Cricetulus griseus: one gene and its partners. The protein of the gene in region 1 interacts with the protein of each later gene in a pairwise test. Links are inferred from orthologs where the notes say so. Each region holds a gene or a part of one and is shown in the gene's direction. Other genes may lie near its edges.

Region 1 (4,286 bases):
GTGTCTTTTGTTTTAATTCAAGACAGGGTCTCACATTATAGCTCAGACTAGCCTGAGGGCAGTCTTCCTGCCTTTGTCTCAAAAGTGCTGGCACATAGGTATCAGCCATCAAGACCAGTTTTTTTGTTTTTGAGGCAGGGTTTCTCTATAGCTTTGGAGGCTGTCCTGGAACATCGCTCTATAAACCAGGCTGGCCTTGGACTCATAGAGATCTGTCTGCCTCTGCCTCCTGAGTGCTGGGATTAAAGGCATTCCTCAAGCCTGGTTTCTTTAGGCTTTCAGTCCTGTCTCCTAATGTCAGAGAGGCCTCCTGAGGCTTTCTTTTGAGCAGAGTGAGCCAGCTGCCTGGCCTTCCTGGATTGTCCACTTGTCTTCAACTATGACAGGTTGGTCCTAAGTCCTACAATGTCCTTCTCTGAGTTGCTAATGTGTCTTTCTTGCAGGGGAAGAAAGCATTCTCTTTTTCCCTACAGTTGTATTGTAAGGAAATTAGGTCACATTTAACACAATATAAAAGAAGCCCTGTAAAGAGTTTGCCTGTGGAGCCTGGCAGTGGTGGGACACACACACGCCTTTAATCCCAGCACTTGGGGGCAGAGCAGGTGAATCTTTGTGAGTTTGAAGCCAGCCTGGTCTAAAGATCCAGGATAGCTAGGGCTGTTACACATAGAAACCTTGTCTCGGAAAAAAAGACAAAACAAAACAAAACAGAAAAAACTTGCCTGTGTACCTGGACCACTGCATGCTGCCCCAGGCCTCTGTGAGCCTGTCTGCCTTGGGAGATGGATTATTGCCTGTGTAGCTTAGGCTGAATCTGATAGTGAAAGATCCAAAGGGGATCAACTTACCATTGGCAGCAAGTCTAGGGTTAGGCATTGGTAAGGCAGCCGGAAGCTGGGAAGGGCTGGGATGAGTGTGTGTGTCCTGCCGGCTCTGTGTGAAAGCTCAGGTTGAATGATGTTAAAGAGGGTAGTCTCTGTGCTAGACACTGCTGTACAGCTGGCAGAATAACAGGTGAGGATGCAGAGTGTGTCTATACTGATAGTTAGGAGCTGGCTCTGTAATGATGAGAATTCAAGTCTGTGCCTCTAACCCTCTTCCCATGGCTCTGTTTGATGGCACTCTGCCATCCCACGTTTCTAGACAGTGGACATGCCTTGTTTACCTCTTTATTCCTAGTCTTCTGCACAGTGCATGATGTATGATGTTAAGGTTAGGGGACAGACATGATGGCTCAGGCCTGAGACAGCTCCTCTTAGCCCTTCAATGCTCTCCTCACCACACAGGTACCCCTTTATGACCAGTGGGAAGATGTCGTGAAGGGGATGAAGGTAGAGGTCCTCAACAGTGATGCTGTGCTCCCCAGCCGGGTGTATTGGATTGCCTCCGTCATCCAGGCAGCTGGTTGGTGTTCTGCTCTCTGGTCAGGGCAGGGTCTGGGATTTATCAAGTGGGTGGGTAGTGTCATAGGGTAAAATAGGCCTCATAAACCAAGGCCTCACTCACGAGCTTTCTCTCCCTTCTTGGAGGTTCTCCTCCCTTAGATGAGAGCACAGAACTGGGCAAACTTTAAAACTAGGGTATTGTTTCTTTTTTATTTTTAAGGTTTATTCTGGGGATAATGAGGGTATAGAGGAAGTTACCAGACCAGAACACTTTTTTTTTTTTTTAAGATTTTATTTATTATGTATACAACATTCTGCTTCCATATATATATGCACATCAGAAGAGGGCACCAGATCTCATAACAGATGATTGTGAGCCACCATGTGGTTGCTGGGAATTGAACTCAGGACCTTTGGAAGAGCAGTTGGTGCTCTTAACCTCTGAGCCATCTCTCCAGCCCAGAATGCTTTCTAAGTATGTGGCCTGGATTTTGTTTTGTTTGGATATCAGGGACCCCACTCGTCTGGAAGGAGTTTCTAGCATAGGAAGTCCGACTGGTGCTAGAGGAGGAAGTAAGCCTGAGAATGTGCCTTTCCCATCTCCTCCCTCTCACAGGTCCCCTTGCCCTTCCTTTCAGGGTACCGAGTGCTGCTCCGATATGAAGGCTTTGAAAATGATGCCAGTCATGACTTCTGGTGCAACCTGGGGACTGTGGATGTCCACCCCATTGGTTGGTGTGCCATTAACAGCAAGATCCTGGTGCCTCCACGGAGTGAGTTAATGAGAAAGTTCCCCATGCCAGGTCCCTTTATTCCTTCCCCTAGAAGTTCCTGGGTAGTTTGGATTCATATATATATCAGAGTGAATGTCTATTTACCATATGTGTACAGGAGCTAGAGATGGTTGTGAATCACTGGGGGGAGTGGGGGACTGGAAATTGAACCCGTGTCCTTTGGAAGAACAGGCAGTGTTTTTAACCTCTGAACCAGCTCTACAGCCCCTAGAGGCTGGTTTTATAAGATGAAGTCATTACTGGCCTGAAGTGGTGGAACTGAATATTTCCATCCCTCCAGCTGATCTCTGGGTTGGTGAAGGTGCTGTCAATCTGTTACCAGCTTGTGCTTGTGTCTCTGTAGCCATCCACATCAAGTGTACTGACTGGAAGAGCTACCTCATGAAGCGGTTGGTGGGCTCCAGGACACTTCCTGCAGATTTTCACATCAAGGTCTGACTGTGTTCCCAGCTTCTTTCCCTCTTCCCTCCCTTTCCCCTCTCCCTCCCTTTCCTCTTCCCCTCCTCCTCCTTACTCCCTATTCCCCTCTTTCCTCCCTCTCCCCCTCCTCCTTCCCTCTGTACCCTCCTCCTTCTCTTTCCCCTCCTCACTCCCTTTCTCCTCCCCCTCCCTCCCTCCCTCTCCCACTTTTTTCCATCCTTCATATGATTCATTTCAGGGGTTTTATTTTGCTTTTGTGGTTCTGGGAGTGGGACCTAGGGCTTTCCATATACTAGTACCGTGAGTAATGCTCCTAACCCCATCATAGTACTCTCTTGTGACTTTGTTTGGCAGTCTTCAGTCCAGAACTACCTCTGGTGGGTGGCTACCTGCCTCCCTGCCAAGACCCTGGTCCACCACATTGATCCTCTTGCTTTCTTGGCCTTTTGGATTTTGAAATGTCCCAGATTCTTGCCCTTTCTTCTAACATTTTCAAAAGTATCTTAGGTTTCTATTGCTTTGGTAAAACACCATTACTGTGAAGGAATGTGGGGAGGAAAGGGTTTATTCTGCATACACTTACTTCCACATCATAGTCCATGATCTAAGGAAGTCAGGACAGGAACTGAAGCAGAGGCCATGGAGTATTACTGCTTACTGGTTTGCTCCTCATGATTTGCTCAGCCTGCTTTTTTAAAAATATTTATTCATATTTTATTTTATTTTATGTGCATATATGTCTGTGTCTAGGTGCCAGATCACCTGGAACTGGAGTTATAGACAATTGTGATCTGTCATGTGGGTGCTGGGAAATGTTGTCAGTGCTCTTTTTTTTTTTTTTTTTTTTTTTGGTTTTTTTTTTTGGTTTTTTTTTTTTTGGTTTTTTGAGACAGACTTCTCTGTGGCTTTGGAGGCTGTCCTGGAACTAGCTCTTTGTAGACCAGGCTGGTCTCCAACTCACAGAGATCTGCCTGTCTCTGCCCTCTGCCTCCCAAGAGCACCACCACCGCCCAGCCCTTTTTTCTTTTTAATACTGAACATTGTGATTTCTCATTTGAGACGTAGAATGACTTGTTTGAAACTTTTCTAAGCATTAGAATATATTATGTTAGTAAACTTGTAGCTTTTTTTTTTTTTTTTTTTTTGGTTTTTTTGAGACAGGGTTTCTCTGTATTGCTTTGGAGCCTGTCCTAGCTCTCTGTAGACCAGGCTGGCCTCGAACTCACAGAAATCTGCCTGCCTCTGCCTCCTGAGTGCTGGGATTAAAGGTGTGTGCCACCAACGCCCGGCTTTTATTTTAGTTTTTAAATTTTTTTGTTTGTTTTTGATTTTTTGGTTTTGGTTTTGGTTTTTTGAGACAGGGTTTCTCTGTGTAGCCCTAGCTGTCCTGGAACTAGCTCTGTAGACCAGGCTGGCTTCGAACTCAAAGAGATCCACCTGCTTCAGCCTCCCAAGTGCTGGGATTAATTGCATGTGACACCACCACCCAGCCAAGACCCTGTCTTAACAAAAATGGGGTGGGGGAGGCTAGAGAGATGGCTCAGTGGTTAACAGTACTTGCTGGTCCTCCAGAGGACCTAAGTTCAATTCCCAGCACCACATAAGGCAGCTCAGATCTGCCTGAAACTCCTGCTCTGGAGATCCCAACATCCTCTTCTAGCCTCCACCAGTACCCCACACATATGGC
Region 2 (4,324 bases), on another chromosome or scaffold:
TCTGTACTCTGTCAGGATAAACCTCAGAGTATTGTGTTCCAAAGTCTTAAGGAAAACCAGTCTCCATATCTTGAAAGCTTAGAGTCACAAGCTGCATTTCATTCACTCTGCCTGTCACCCATTACATCTGCCACACCCAAGACCTTGAATGCCAGTGACAGAACCCAACTCAAGGGACTCTGGATGCAGTTCAGCCTCCTGGCCTAGAGTGAATGAAGTTCTCAAGTTACATCCCCGGCCTGGTGGTGAATGCCTGCAATCCTAGCAATGGTAATGACTGAGGCAGAGGGATCAAAGAGTCTGCGATCATCCATAGTTACATAGAGTTTGAGGTTAGCCTGAAATACAGAAATATTAGAGACCCTGTTTCGAAGAAAACCCTTTAAAACTAACCCAAACCTCCCAGAATGAGTCTACCTTCCTTTCACCCTCCTGCCACATCCAGGTGACATGAGACACCTCGTACAGCCATCTCCCTGGCCTTTACCAAAATAAATATGATTCACACCTGTTGTCCAGGTAGAGGCAAGAGCACCTTTGAGTTAGAAACTGTCTTGTTCCTAATTGCTTCACCGGTCTCTAGTTGACAGAGCCCACAGACGCTAGTTTTGCTTCATGGTTCAGTGAGTGGCAGGAGCCCTGGGCTGGGATCTGAAGGTGGATATGCACTATGAGTGATTGCCTCCTTCTGGCCAGGAGAGGGAAGAGCGGGGCTCTGTGCTCCTAGACCATAGCGAGGCCCGCTTATGCAAAAATGTGCCCAACAGTGACCCCAGCCTTAAGGCCACCTCAACCCATCTGTCAGATGGGGTGAGAGCACTATTTCCAAGGACACCAGCTGCCTCGGAGCTTCTTGACAACTGGACTCTTGAGGATTCCAACTTTAGACTTAGGCGTCAGGATTCCGAGGCTGACCAGGAGCTGCTAACCCTTCTCCAGCCATTAGCACGCCTGGGCTGCACAGTTGGCGGAGGGCATGTGATTTCCCCATCAACTGGACAGCGTTGGCGGGGCTGGGCGGGACTGCGAGGCCAGGAGAGAGCAAGGAGGGCGGCGTTGCGTGCGAGCGCGGCCACCAGGGGGCGCCATCCTCCGGGCTGGCGTCTCGACCCCGCCCCGGCCGTTCGGCTCTGCTCGGCTCGGCTCGGCTCGAGCGCAGCGACGGCGGCGCGCGCTTCCGCCTCGCGGGCTCTGGCCCGGGTGCGAGCGGCCGCGCGATGTGGCTCGGGCCGGAGGAGGTGCTGGTGGCCAACGCGCTGTGGGTGACGGAGCGGGCCAACCCCTTCTTTGTGCTGCAGCGGCGCCGGGGCCACGGCAAGGGCGGCGGCCTCACGGGTGAGCGGGGCGCGGGTGGCCGGGCCTGTGCGCACCGGGCCTGGCGGGACAGCAGGACGCGGCCAGAGGGCCAGCGGGCACGCGCAGCGACGCGAGGGGTCGGAGAGCGGGCGGGGAGGATCGTCCCAGGACCGGTGGCAGGGGAGGGCAGCAGTGATCTCCCGGAGACGTGTGCACACTCCTGCAGAGGAACTTAGCAGCCAGAAGCGTGCAGAGTTCCCCCAGCTCGCCTTCTGCCTCAATTTCTCCAAGTGACTCTGAGGGACCAAGTGGGATAAACACACATTTTCTTTTGCCCTCTTCTTTTTTTCCAACTCACCCAGGAATTGTCTCTTTATGAAGATCAAAGATGCTCTGTTCCCCTTCCTCCAGCTTCTGTTCACATGGTGCCATCAGAGCTCCAGACCCAATGCTTGTTTTTGCATAATTATCAGTGTATATGAAGCGTGCCCCTGAGAAAGCCCAGATGCCCCTTGGGTGTCTGGGCACCACCACTCATACAGAAGCAGCTGGTGTGGGTGCCTCTGATGTTGTGTGACATGTGCGATTGTGGGAGTCTACTGAGCAGGATTTATTCAAAGCCCCTTGTGCTCCAGAGCCGTCAGGTATTGCAGGAACAGGTCTGGCCCTACAGGAGACTCCAGTGGACCCTTCTGGGTGCCATATCGTTCGGTTTATAAAGCGAATTCTCTGCGAAAGGCCCTATTTTCAGTGTGGCAGCTAACAGTCCTGCCAGATGCAGTTGGAGGCTTCTTATAGGTGCCATCAGCTGCCAGGCTGTCATGAACCACACTTCTTAATGTGGAAGGAACTGTACCTTTTTCAAGAAAACTCAATGTTCTCTTCCACAGTCAGGCTCCTTCCCGAAGGGCCTGGAGATTACTGAAGGTAGTACTGTACCGGCCTCCAGGACCCAAAGTTTATGGACAGTTAGGTAGCAGCTGTCCTGGGCAGCCCAATGACCAACCTTGGAAGGCCACAAGGCCACTGGGGAACACAGGAAACCATATGACAAATCCCTTTTGTTACATCATTCATCTCTGTGTCCCCCTAGGCTGAGCTTCCAGAGTACTGCCCCAGCCATTCTATGGACTCCTCCGAATCCCACTGATCGAGATTTGTGCAAGCAGCTGTAGCTATTGTGCCTTCACAGATGTCAGTTCTGAGCATTGTCTCCCTAAGAGAGATCCATCAGTAATGCAGATTTATTCAAACCTCTTTTCCTGGGTCCTGGCAGCAGGACCCAGGTCCAAATCCCAGCAGCCACATGGTGGCTGACAGCCAGCAGTAATTCCAGTTCTAGAGGATCCAGAAACCTCCTCAGGCCTCCATGGCCACCAGACATACTTGTAGATACAACACAGAAAAAGCAATGAAATGAGCCATCCATGTGGTGCACAGAAGGCAGAGGCAGATCTCTGAGTTGGAGGCCAGCCTGGTCTACAGAGTGAGTTCCGAGACATACAAGGCTACAGAGAGAAACCCTGCCTCACAACACAAAAACAAAAGAAAGGAAATAATTTTTTAAATAGCAATAATAACTAGCCAACCTGGAGTTCTCATTAAAGAGTGGACGTGAGAAGATGGTCAGCAGATTAAAAAGGTCTCAGGTCCTCAATATGGCTATGCCAGTAATTTATCCAGAGACTAAAAGAATATTCCCAAGACCAAAAGAAAAACCTCAACATGGACATTGAAAAGTTTACTCCAAGTGGGGCGGGTAGTGGTGCATGCTTTTGATCCCAGTACTCAGGAGGCAGAGACAGGAGGATCTCTGTGAGTTTGAGATCAGCCTGGTCTACAAGAGCTAGTTCCAGGACAGCCTCCAAAGCCACAGAGAAACCCTGTCTCAAAAAAAAAAAAAAAAAATTTACTCCAAACTCTGGGAAAACTCGAGTGTGCCTTTTTCCTTTTGTTTTTGAGGTAGTCTCACTATTTAGCTTTGGCAGACCTGGAACTTGTTACATAGACCAGGCTAGTCTGAAGTCACAGAGGTCAGCCTGCCTCTGCTTCCTGAGTGTGAGGATTAAAAGTGTGCGCCATTTAACTGCAATTTATATACTTTCCGTGTGTGTGTGTGTGTGTGTGTGTGTGTGTGTGTGTGTGTGTGTGTATTTGTATGCACACATGCATGCAGGAGCCCATGCATGTGTGTGCTGAGGCCAGAAGTTGACATGGGTGTCTGTTTCTCCAGCTCTCCTCCACCTCCACCTTGTGTTTTGGGACGGTTGGCTGGCCATCGGATTCCAGTAATCCCTCTCCACTCTGCTTCCCTCACTGAAGTTACAGGCACAAGCTGCCACACCCATCTTTATGTGGGTGATGGGCATCTAGGCTTAGATCCTCCTGCTTGCATAGTAGGCATTTTACGCTGAGCCGTCTATCTCCCTAGATGCCTAACCGCAATTAGGGTGACTTTTTTTTTTTTTTTTTAACATTTCAGTAAAACAAGTGAGAAACCATCTGTTTGGATGTGTCTATTTTGTAACCATCCATCGAATTTATTAAAGATGGAGGGGGTCAGATGAAAAATGGTATGTAGCAAAAAGTATTTAAGATGAATAATAAAACTGATAGAAACTGTTTTGTGTGCCAAGAAGAGAGCAGCGGAGTGTTTTCGGATCTCCTTGAAAAGGAAGGCATACATTTCAAACAGGAACAATGGACAGGGTTTTTTGTTGTTGTTGTTGTTGTTGGGTTTGTTTTTTTTTTTTTTGATTACTTCGTTATTTAAGTAATCAAGAAGAGTGGATCAGAAGGGCAGTGGTAGAAGATAGGGGTTTCCTGCCGATTTACCAGGAAATGATGACACTGACAAAGAGCACTGCCACAATGTGTGTCATCAAGCCAAAGGGTACGTGGTAAAGAGAACTTGAAATGCCCTAAAATGCTTCAGTTCCAGAAAGAAAAAAAAAAAAATGTCTTTCAAAATCTGATGATTCAAAAAAAATGTTTCCTTGTCCTGTTCAGCCATGACTTTGAAGGCTGC
Region 3 (4,386 bases), on another chromosome or scaffold:
GGGAAGTTCAAAATTCTGCCATTTAAATGAACTGTGCTACTGTGTTTTATTCTCAGGATGATGCCAATAATGACCCGCAGTGGTCTGAGGAGCAGCTCATTGCTGCAAAGTTCTGCTTTGCTGGACTTGTTATAGGCCAGACTGAAGTTGACATCATGAGTCATGCTACCCAAGCTATATTTGAAATCCTGGAGAAGTCCTGGCTTCCCCAGAACTGTACACTGGTTGATATGAAGATTGAATTTGGTGTTGATGTAACCACCAAAGAGATTGTTCTGGCTGATGTTATTGATAATGATTCCTGGAGACTCTGGCCATCAGGGGATCGGAGCCAGCAGAAAGACAAACAGGTATGCTCTGAGCTTACTGTCTTTTGTAAGATCAAGCCCTATAATGGTGAGAGAGGTTATCAGTCTGATTTATTGCTAAGTGTTTACCTTTAAAATTAATCTCTCTCTTCTGGAGATAGAACACAAAGACAGGGCACTTGCTTAGCACACACCAGATCCTGAAGTCAACCTTCAGTATCCAAAAGTAAAAGTGAACCGAACTCTCCTGTGGTGGTAAGGAATACTTTTAACCTACAAAGCAGGCTTTTTTATGTCACCTTCAGATTCTTAAACAGCAAAGGGACAACTGTCCTTGTTTGTCTAATCTTCACAATACCAAGACTAAGGGACGGAAATGGGATTCTACATACCAAGTCTTAATTAAGGCTTTTAACTCAACTACTTGTAATTGCTAAGGAAGAAAGCATTTGACCTGGAATGAAAAGCGAAACTTTGCTGCTGAACTTTTTCATTGAAAAAACATTTCTCCATCAACGGGCATTTTCAGATATATCTCATTATGTAAACTTGTCATAAGCTCTACTTAAAGAAAGGAAGGAAGGGTTTTTAAGCTAGCAAGAGAAAATTATTTTGTAAATTTCTATCTTTCTAGTCTTACCGTGACCTCAAGGAAGTAACTCCGGAAGGACTGCAGATGGTAAAGAAGAACTTTGAGTGGGTTGCAGATCGAGTGGAGTTACTCCTGAAGTCAGATAGTCAGTGCAGGGTTGTAGTGCTGATGGGTTCCACTTCTGACCTTGGTCACTGTGAGAAAATTAAAAAGGCTTGTGGAAACTTCGGGATTCCATGTGAACTTCGAGTAACATCTGCCCATAAAGGACCGGATGAAACTTTGAGGATTAAAGCAGAGTATGAAGGTAAACTTAATAAATAAATGGACAACTTCAGCTATTTCTGATTTGGGTAAAATATTTTAAAGTACATATGTTTTGGATAATAATGTTTTAAAGAGGCTTTCCATATTTCGGAGGAAAGTCATGTGGAATGCCTATACTTTTACACTTATCCCCAGGGATAATGTCTGACATCCTATCCCTCTTTGTGTACCTCATGCATGTGATGCCCATAAACTCATGCAGGCACACATACTTGTAATTTTTTTGAATCTTTAAAAAAAAAAAAAAAAAAAGGCTCATTGATTAAGAGGAGCACTCACAGCCATCTAGCTCCAGTCCAGGGGAATCCATCAACTTCTTCTGGCCTCCAGGAGCACTGCACACCACACCCATGCATAGACATGGAGGCAAAACAGCCATACACATAAAATAGAAGGATGTGTGGTCTCCTTGTCTTATTAACAGTGCCCCTTGAGCACTGTTGCTGGCTTATTCCAAAAGAAAAGAATCCCTTACCCCAACTGTGGGATGCCTAAGGCTAAAGCAGCAGGGCCTCTCTGGTATCTTTGTCAGTTTTCTTGAAAGAAAATAAGAAATAAAGCTATAGTTTCAGGAGTTAATACATTAAGTAAATGATAGGATATCGTTGGTACAAGAAAACTTAACAGAAGTGTAGTTAACAATGGGAGGAGGGCTTCCGGTCCTTTAATAAGCTAATGAAGGCTTGGATTCTTTCTCCAGAAAGGCAGACTAAGTTGTAATAAGAAATTCAGGATTCAGTATCCAGCACCACATAAAACCAGGACCTGTAGTCCTAACAGGTGGGAAGGTCGGGTTTGCTGTAATTCAAGCTGAGCCTGGGCTAGAGTAACACTGTATTAAATATACAAACTTCCTAAACTTTTGAGATATAGAGATGTACTTTTGCTGTTGGTTTTTGATACTGCTAATGATGGGCCTTTCAACTCAAGCATCCTAAGCCCTTTAACTTTGGGTGCTTTTACTACATGTACTCCAGCACCCAAATACTGAATACTGGAAGTAGCCACGAGAATTTTAATCACTATTAAATGAGTCTACTGGCACCCTCTGGAAGGACAACTCATCATAAAAGATAGCTGTTCAGCTGGTGAGGTTCTTCATGCTGCTGAGTCTAAGCAGCAATATCAGAAGGAAGCTGTGAACCAGCCATTTCCTTACCAACTTCAGGACATTCTCTTTATACTGTAGATCTCAAAAATGGCCATTCCTATGCTACTTAGGTTATTATTAACTGTACAGCTAGGTATGCTTTTTCTATAGCAGACTACTAAAGGATTTGAGTTCATTTTGTATTTTACATTTATTTTTATAGTATATGTGGAGGTTAGAGAACAGCTTGCAAGAGTCAATTCTTTGCCACTATATGGGTTCTAGAGGTCAAACAGGTCACCAGACTTGGCAACAGTTCCCCTTACCCACTGAGCCATCTAACATGCCCCCCCCCTTTTTTTGTTCCTGCTGTTATTGTCAACAAAACAAAAGGACCTGGTTATCTTGTAATTTCCCTAGGCGATGGCATACCTACTGTATTTGTCGCAGTGGCTGGCAGAAGCAATGGTTTGGGCCCAGTGATGTCTGGTAATACTGCATATCCGGTTATCAGCTGTCCCCCCATCACACCAGACTGGGGTGCTCAGGATGTGTGGTCATCCCTTCGACTGCCCAGTGGTAAGATCTTGAAAATTTTCAGTACTGGGAGTATACACAAAATTTCAAGATGCAATCTTAATGTCTCTACCAGCCTCATCTTCTAATATTTAATTACACATTTTAGCCACAGCCTACTAATTTTAAATCAGACGTTATATTTTTGAATTATTGTGTATTTTTTGCTTAATATGCATCTCTTAAGAAGTAAAGACTTGGCTTTATTATCATCTTTTGTTTTTTTATTTCTTTTTAAGCTACTAACTCATTTATTTGTCCTTTCTATTCTGAACCAATAGGTCTTGGCTGTTCAACTATACTTTCTCCAGAAGGATCCGCCCAGTTTGCTGCTCAGATATTTGGGTTATACAACCATTTGGTATGGGCCAAACTTCGAGCAAGCATTCTTAACACATGGATATCTTTAAAGCAAGCTGACAAGAAAATCAGAGAATGCAATTTATAAAAAAAAAAAAAAAAAGTAATTTTTAGGAGAAAAGTTACACATTCCTAGTTTGAATTAAAAAGAAAGAATTTAAGCAAAATGATTTCACATCAGAGAAAACAATTCAGTTTACTGTTGAACAAAATGGTCCTCTATATTTTAGGGGTTGACAAGTTGTCAGTGAGTATTTGTTATTAATATTTTCTAGTTCTGAATAATGATGTGTTCCTGTAACCTCAGCACACCAGAGGCTGAGGCAGAAAAACTATGTGTTGAGACCCTGTATTGAAATAAAAAAATCTTTATAGTTAGTAAAAATTAGTATGACACTGTTCAATTATATTATCAATCACTACATGATCCTTGTTGGGCAGTTAATGTAACATTAGCAAAGAAATGTCTTTTATGGAGCTGGAGCTGTCTTTCTGGTTTAAGAACCAATGTGGCTCTCTTGCAGAGGACCAGAGAATTTGGTTCCCATCATCCATGTGGAGTGACTCATAATCACCTGTAACTTCTAATTATTTCTAAATGCTAATAATGATTTTTTTGTAAATCAGTAGCTACTGGTTGGTCTTCTGTGGATCATGATTTGAAAATTAAAATATTTCTGTTTATGCTAATAACTATTCTCACTGCATGGTCTGTATGTTCTAAGTCCTTATCTAAGAAAGTACATAGCTACATGAATCTCCAGCTAAGGTATGTGTTTGTGCTTTGTTGGGTTTGTTTTTATGGTGGTGAGGAAACCCTAGGTCCTTACACTTGGTAGGCAAGCACTACCTCTGAGTTACATCTTTACCCATGTTTGCTTGGGGGGTTTTGTTTTGTTTTTAAAGAAATTGAGAATAGGGGTAGAAGAAACACATAAAGTGGAAGTGATGGAAAGGGCTCCTTCCTGAGGTGTTTGTGTATTAGGACAATTCTTGAAAAAAAGTAGTCTCCTTCCCATTCCAATAAAAGACTACGTAAATTATGGCTTAGCCATTTAACTAGGTTTTATGGTAGGTGCCTCTGTGGGCCATAAACTTTGATTTTCTAGTAAAACATTTTGGACACAACTGCA

The links.
Region 2: the proteins of L3mbtl2 (region 1) and Tbc1d9b interact in binary tests that used the Homo sapiens proteins (3 or more experiments, as listed by UniProt). The two-hybrid records come from large-scale screens. The link is inferred for Cricetulus griseus from reciprocal best matches to the Homo sapiens genes L3MBTL2 and TBC1D9B.
Region 3: the proteins of L3mbtl2 (region 1) and Paics interact in binary tests that used the Homo sapiens proteins (3 or more experiments, as listed by UniProt). The two-hybrid records come from large-scale screens. The link is inferred for Cricetulus griseus from reciprocal best matches to the Homo sapiens genes L3MBTL2 and PAICS.

The regions. Positions count from the first base shown.
Region 1 is NC_048595.1:378,817,311-378,821,596, forward strand, and holds part of L3mbtl2 (lethal(3)malignant brain tumor-like protein 2), read left to right. Parts: intron 1-1,286; coding exon 1,287-1,404; intron 1,405-2,023; coding exon 2,024-2,158; intron 2,159-2,522; coding exon 2,523-2,611; intron 2,612-4,286. UniProt on the Homo sapiens protein: Putative Polycomb group (PcG) protein. PcG proteins maintain the transcriptionally repressive state of genes, probably via a modification of chromatin, rendering it heritably changed in its expressibility.
Region 2 is NC_048600.1:64,592,702-64,597,025, forward strand, and holds the start of Tbc1d9b (TBC1 domain family member 9B), read left to right. Parts: upstream 1-1,152; 5' UTR 1,153-1,217; coding exon 1,218-1,335; intron 1,336-4,324. UniProt on the Homo sapiens protein: May act as a GTPase-activating protein for Rab family protein(s).
Region 3 is NW_023276807.1:143,381,598-143,385,983, forward strand, and holds the end of Paics (multifunctional protein ADE2), read left to right. Parts: intron 1-56; coding exon 57-350; intron 351-942; coding exon 943-1,207; intron 1,208-1,444; exon of another isoform or gene 1,445-2,737; coding exon 2,738-2,896; exon of another isoform or gene 2,897-2,920; intron 2,921-3,174; coding exon 3,175-3,341; 3' UTR 3,342-3,946; downstream 3,947-4,386. UniProt on the Homo sapiens protein: Bifunctional phosphoribosylaminoimidazole carboxylase and phosphoribosylaminoimidazole succinocarboxamide synthetase catalyzing two reactions of the de novo purine biosynthetic pathway.